2 linked regions of the Caenorhabditis elegans genome follow. The protein of the gene in region 1 purifies or fractionates together with the protein of each later gene. This does not show direct contact. Each region holds a gene or a part of one and is shown in the gene's direction. Other genes may lie near its edges.

Region 1 (3,028 bases):
GTTTAGTAGGTTTTAGGAACTGAAATATATATTTTTGACTAATAATTTTTGTTGCAAAATTTTAGGGAGCCGTTCAGGCGTGTAGGCTCTAGGCAGACGCAGACAAATAGGCACGAAGGCGAGCCCATCTACCATCGTAACCCCTCAATTTATACAATTTTTTGAAACCTACTGCTCAATAGCTGCAATTTTGACGCTTCTTTCTTCTGCTTCTTTTCTTCGAATTGTCTCTTCCTGTTCATCAACGACACCTTGTAGAGAATTCAGTTTTGCACCCATCTCAATGATTTCTAGCTCGATACGATGCTGGTTTCCCAGTTGTGTATCTAAAAATTTTGAAAAAGTTTTTAATTCTACTTTCACTATTCTCTTTTCGGCCTACCCATAATGCTCATTTCACTCTTTAACTTTTCAATTTGCTCTTTCAATTTCTTCTCTTCTAATTCAGAATTATCTCTATGAATTTTAAACATTCTATCTGATTCTTTTCTCTGTTCTTCCAACATTTCTTCCAAACGAGCAGTCTGAAACAATGCTCGTTCTTTGCCTTTTTCTCTAATTCCTCTCTTACCTCTTCGTCTTTCTCTTCAACCAATTTTTTCAGATAAATAATCACATCGTTCGACTCGAATGTTAAATTTGTCAACTGATTCTCGGTCGCCTCATTTGTTACTATCATTTCTGCGATTTTTTCCTGAATGAAGCATAAAATTTAAAGTAATTTTGATAATATTTTCAAAAATTAAAACCACCTGCAGTAACTCTAACTGTTCCTCGAGAGGTTTTTCATCAGAATCCTGGCGTTGTTTAGAAATCATAGTTGTGAGTAACTAAAGTAATACGTAAAAGAACTCAGAATGTCTAGAGTTCAGATCAGTCAGCCATAAAATTTCAATTTCCGTCCATGGTGCAACAACTAATTTCCTGCGTTTGCTTAAATATAAATAAGTCTTCTTTAGTTTCAAAATTACATTTAATATTTTAATACAAGAACAAAAAAAACTGCTTCAAGTTCCTGTTCCTGTTCCACAAAAAATTATTTTTTAAACTGTCCCCAAAAACGCCCTGATGTAGATTTACGATAAACAAAGCGCGAAGGGTTATTTCGGAGTGTTGTAGTCAAGAAAAATGTTTCTTAAGAATTAAAATTTTAAAAATTATTTTCTTTCATTTTCTTAATTTAAGTGATTTATTTCTAGATTTTTTGATTAATTTCCAATTAAAAAACTGAAGTCTTCAATTTTTATTAAAAATAAATAACCTCGCTCTCATAATTTTTCTGAAAAACTAAGAAATTTACATTTTTCCTGTATCAACCAAGATATCGTATGAAGATTTATATATTTTCAATTAAACTTTCGAATTTTACCAATGTTTTACATTACATAAAATGTCCCATTTTATGTTTTCGCTAAATGTTTCTTCAAACTCCCCGCAAGTTGACTGATAACGTTTCTGTTGTACATCACTCCATTCTACCCTTTCATCTTTTTTTTCGTGTGGCGTGATATACTTTTCTCATTTTCTTTTCTTTGCATTGCCTAAAATCCTTATTTTTGCAGGGTAACAATGAGCGTTCAGACGTATCTGGTTGCGTACAACGTGTTACAAATTTTAGGGTACGTTTTTTTTTCTGAAAGAAGTTCACTATAATTTTAATAATTTAAATTAATTTCAGATGGTCTGCAATTCTTGTGAAAACAGTTCTTGGACTCGCTAATGGCTTGACATGGCCACAACTTTACGAATCGGTGGAATTTGAGCTTAAAATCTTCCAAACCGCAGCTATTCTCGAGGTTAGCTTTGTTGAAATTGAAAAACTTTTAAAGAAATTATCATATTCAGGTCATTCACGCAATTGTCGGACTTGTTCGTTCACCAGTTGGAACTACCGCAATGCAAGTAACATCTCGCGTCGTCCTTGTCTGGCCAATCCTCCACTTGTGCTCAACAGTGAGTTGGAATTTTTTATCTTAAACTTGAATAAATTAAACCAATTTTTAGGCTCGCTTCAGTATCGGAGTTCCACTTCTTCTTGTTGCCTGGTCCGTAACAGAGGTCATCCGGTACTCGTTCTATGCACTCAGCGTATTGAAACAACCAATCCCATATTTCCTTCTCTACCTCAGGTATTTTGAGATTCTGGGGATCAATGCTATAACTCAACTATTTTAATTACAGATACACCCTCTTCTACGTTCTCTACCCAATGGGAGTCTCCGGAGAGCTTCTGACGTTGTTCGCTTCATTAAATGAAGTTGATGAGAAGAAAATCCTTACCCTCGAGATGCCAAACCGTCTCAACATGGGAATCTCCTTCTGGTGGGTGCTCATCATTGCTGCTCTCAGCTACATTCCCGGATTCCCACAACTTTACTTCTACATGATCGGTCAAAGAAAGAAGATTCTCGGCGGAGGAAGCAAGAAGAAGCAGTAAAGAAAAATTCTACGTGTATTTATATTACAGTGTATTCTAGATTAATTGCAACCAATCAAAATTCAACTTTATTCATAAATTATTCTCCCGTAATGTCTTCTAAAAAAACAGTCACCCGAAAATCAGGATGGTGGCGTCATTTGAGCAAGAGCTTCGGCCTTTGCCAAATAATTCTGGTATAAATAATAACACCAATATATGAGATTCAGAAAACAAAACGACAATGGAAATGCTTTTCTGCAGAATTTGTCGACATTTTGTGCAGTCCATTTGGTATTTTCGTCATCGTCATCCGTGAGGAGTCCTGGAAAAGTAATATTTAGAGAATAAACGATGCACAAATTTATTTAAAAGTACCGAATTGTGCGAGAGCGTGCAAAGATTCGAACATATTGTTCGCTTGTCGAGAAATTGAAATTTTATGGCTTGTAGTCCCGTTCTGCTAAAAGATAATACATTTAAAATAATAAAAAAAATCAATAATCTCACTGAAAAAGGCTCATCATAATTGCTCCTCAAGTCGCTCTCTGCTGCATTTGCATTGGTTACTGTAGTTGCACCATAGTTATTTTTCTTTCTGTCTTTTTTTCT
Region 2 (3,443 bases), on another chromosome or scaffold:
TTGTCTGTTCTGTTTATTCTCAATGCTGTTTTCTCTGTTCTTTGTTTCTCTGCTCTTTTTTCCTTTTTCAACATAAATTTATGTGTATCCCGGCCGTAGGACGAGACTTCACTTGTTTCTCTTCCACTTGTTTCAACTTAAACGCGAATAAGTTTTTCAGTGCTATTCTGATTAGTGTGTGCACTGAAAACTGATCAGTGAGCGAGTTTGTAAGTCGTTGCTAGGCATTTTCATCTGTGGACAGCAGAGAGCGCGCTTTCATCGATCTTGATTCATTTCTCACGCTGCTGCTCTTTTCATTTCTTTTTTTTTGCTCTGAGATCGACGAGAAGTGAAAAATGCCACTTTTTGGAAGCAAGAAAACCGATAAGAAAAGTGGAATGAATGAAGCACCAAGCTATCCGAAGCAAAGTGTAAGTTTACTTAACTTTAAATCATGAATAATTTGATTTTTTTAGGCCGTTCCACCTCCTCCGCAAGTTGCCCACTATCCGATGCCAACATATCCACAAGGTCCGCTTGTTCAACAAAACGAGTTCTACTTCACCTCCGCTGGCCAACAACTCCAATCGGTTCCAACTACTACAGTCGCATTTGCAAGAACCGATCTGCCTGGGGCTTACGACAACTTCTGTGAGGGATTCCTCGACGGACCAGACTTCTCAAACCGAGTCCCAGACAGGAACATTCCCCCTGCTCCAGGATCGTATTACTTCTACTCGGTAACACACATTTTTAAATTTCAACTTTACCATACCCACTTTCAGCATGGCAACAGCTCAACCCCGTCGTTCGCCCCTCCCTACTGTGCTCCACCACCAGGTCCATCTTCATCTGCTCCACCAACACTCCCGACGTCTTCAGGCAACCTGCCGCCACCTCCAACCTACGAACAGGTTCTCTCGCAGGAAGTGAAAGAAAAACTATGATAATTTCGCTGAAGATTTTTCAACATTTTCAACACTGTATTCCCTTTGCATCTGTGATTGCTGTTTGCATACTAAATCATAATTATTCTGCGATTTCATTTTTTGTGCTCTTAATTTAGTCATTTTACCTGAACGATATTTTGATCAAACCACATTTATGCATTTATTTTCTCCCAAGACTACAAATAAGCCACGATGTAGTCTTCCTGAAGGGCAAAGTGCAAAAAACGAATGCTATCTGCGTCTCCCCGGTTTCTGTACTATCTCAATAACGTTTCGTTATCTTCTCTTTCTCGGAGAGTAGTCCAGCAATCTCTGTGTTCATTGGCTGTTATTTGTGGCGAACCCTCACAGCAACGACGTGGTCGGACACACAAACATTTTCTTCACTTATTTTTTTATCTTCCTTTTGTTGTTGATATCTTCGTAAACATTCGTTCCCACTATCGATCTAAATAGGATAAAAAAGCTTTACTGTTCTTTAAAAACTCCTAAAAATCCAATTTTAAATTTTATATTCGAAATTTAGCGTTTAAAGTGCAATTTTCTTTGATAAGATAAGTTAAGATAAGTTAAACATTTCTTACAAGGCCTGACAGGGTTTTCTTAAATTCAGAAATGTATTAACTTGAACAAAACTAAATATTATCACCCTTTTTTTAAATAACAGGATTCAGGTATTTTTCTTAAATCAAAAAACCACTTAATTTCTACATTAACCTTACTTAATATCGGAAAATTTCAGCCATCAGATCGAAGTTTTTACATTTTATTTTTCAGACGCATTGAAATGTCGGACGTTCTTCTGAATTTCATCGCAGGAGGAGTCGGTGGATCATGTACCGTAATCGTCGGACATCCATTCGATACTGTCAAAGTCCGAATTCAAACTATGCCAATGCCAAAACCAGGGGAGAAGCCACAATTTACCGGAGCTCTTGATTGTGTCAAACGAACAGTTTCCAAAGAAGGATTTTTTGCCCTCTACAAAGGAATGGCAGCTCCACTTGTTGGTGTTTCTCCACTTTTTGCAGTTTTTTTCGGAGGATGTGCAGTTGGAAAATGGCTGCAGCAAACTGATCCAAGTTAGTACTAAATCATCATGGGCAAACAAATAAATTGAAAATATGAGAATTAATCTTACCATTTTGCATTTCAGGCCAGGAGATGACATTCATCCAAAACGCTAATGCTGGAGCTCTTGCTGGAGTCTTCACAACAATTGTGATGGTTCCTGGTGAACGAATCAAGTGTCTTCTTCAAGTTCAGCAAGCTGGATCTGCTGGTTCTGGAGTTCATTACGATGGTCCACTTGATGTTGTCAAAAAACTATATAAACAAGGAGGAATTTCATCAATCTACAGAGGAACTGGTGCCACTCTGCTCAGAGACATCCCAGCTTCAGCCGCTTATCTTTCAGTATATGAATATCTAAAAAAGAAATTCTCTGGAGAAGGAGCTCAAAGAACATTGTCACCAGGAGCAACATTGATGGCTGGAGGACTTGCTGGTATTGCCAATTGGGGAGTGTGTATTCCAGCTGATGTTCTCAAATCTCGATTACAAACAGCCCCTGAAGGAAAGTATCCAGATGGAATCCGTGGAGTTTTGAGAGAGGTTCTTCGCGAAGAGGGTCCTAGAGCTCTGTTCAAGGTGATTTTTTTTAAACGATTGGGACGATGCAAGTGAATTTTTCGTCATTTCTCGACACATTTACATACATATATACTTTACCTGATTTCTAGCTACAATTTGTATAAATTTCAGGGATTCTGGCCAGTAATGCTCCGTGCTTTCCCTGCAAACGCTGCCTGTTTCTTCGGACTTGAACTCACGTTGGCTGCCTTCCGTTACTTTGGCATTGGTGGACACCCAACACCATCTACAGAAGTTGTTCCACTCCCACACGACGAGTAAATTTTTGAAAATTCTCATTTTTCTAATTAGTTTATACCATATTTATTTGATATTTTTTTCATTATTCAAAAACATTTACCCGAGTTGCCTTCTATTTCCATGTTTTGGGCATTTGTATGTTGTGTATATTTCTACATGAAAATCGTAAATTTTTTGATGAACTTCAAGAAGTGCTCAATGTTGAATTATATTTACCGTGTTCAGCTGTCGCTATACAATTTTTTTTGAGAAACAGGTTCATTAAATGCAGAACAATTATCGAAACAAAAGAGTACAACGGGTATGGTGAAAAAAAAACAGGGGAACATTTAAGATAAGACTATTCTAGATCGATGACGCTCTGAAGACTGCCAGGTTCACTTTCTGAAACTATTTTCACAATTTTAAACGATTGGGATAGTGATGATTGGAGTTAAATTGAATTTCATTAATTGAAAAACCTACACTAAATAAGAGTATTCTGGAAATGAGTAGTTTTAATTTAGAAATTCTTTTTTAGAAAACCTAACCTTTCTGGAAGAAATTGTATTGAAAAAAAGTTTTAAAAACACCGAAAATTATAATCATCAATAAAAATTTCTTTTCAAACGTTTACTA

The links. Proteins that work in one complex are often made in the same cells at the same time.
Region 2: the proteins of hpo-8 (region 1) and dif-1 fractionate together in Caenorhabditis elegans (co-fractionation; one large-scale study listed by BioGRID). This does not show direct contact.

Annotation. Positions count from the first base shown.
Region 1 is NC_003283.11:6,837,727-6,840,754, forward strand, and holds hpo-8 (Very-long-chain (3R)-3-hydroxyacyl-CoA dehydratase hpo-8), read left to right. Parts: upstream 1-1,562; 5' UTR 1,563-1,569; coding exon 1,570-1,619; intron 1,620-1,678; coding exon 1,679-1,796; intron 1,797-1,845; coding exon 1,846-1,953; intron 1,954-2,004; coding exon 2,005-2,129; intron 2,130-2,181; coding exon 2,182-2,437; 3' UTR 2,438-2,528; downstream 2,529-3,028. Other genes in the region: T15B7.15 (GRIP domain-containing protein), read right to left, coding at 173-326, 383-524, 572-694, 753-818; lgc-54 (Ligand-Gated ion Channel), read right to left, coding at 2,560-2,741, 2,795-2,879, 2,927-3,026. UniProt on the Caenorhabditis elegans protein: Catalyzes the third of the four reactions of the long-chain fatty acids elongation cycle. This endoplasmic reticulum-bound enzymatic process, allows the addition of two carbons to the chain of long- and very long-chain fatty acids/VLCFAs per cycle.
Region 2 is NC_003282.8:7,551,141-7,554,583, reverse strand, and holds dif-1 (Protein dif-1), read left to right. Parts: upstream 1-1,709; 5' UTR 1,710-1,719; coding exon 1,720-2,014; intron 2,015-2,088; coding exon 2,089-2,582; intron 2,583-2,696; coding exon 2,697-2,846; 3' UTR 2,847-2,927; downstream 2,928-3,443. Other genes in the region: F49E8.6 (Early nodulin-75-like), read left to right, coding at 339-413, 459-722, 768-929; oef-1 (C2H2-type domain-containing protein), read right to left, coding at 3,166-3,215. UniProt on the Caenorhabditis elegans protein: Seems to play a role in the maintenance of tissue differentiation in the developing embryo, but not for its initiation.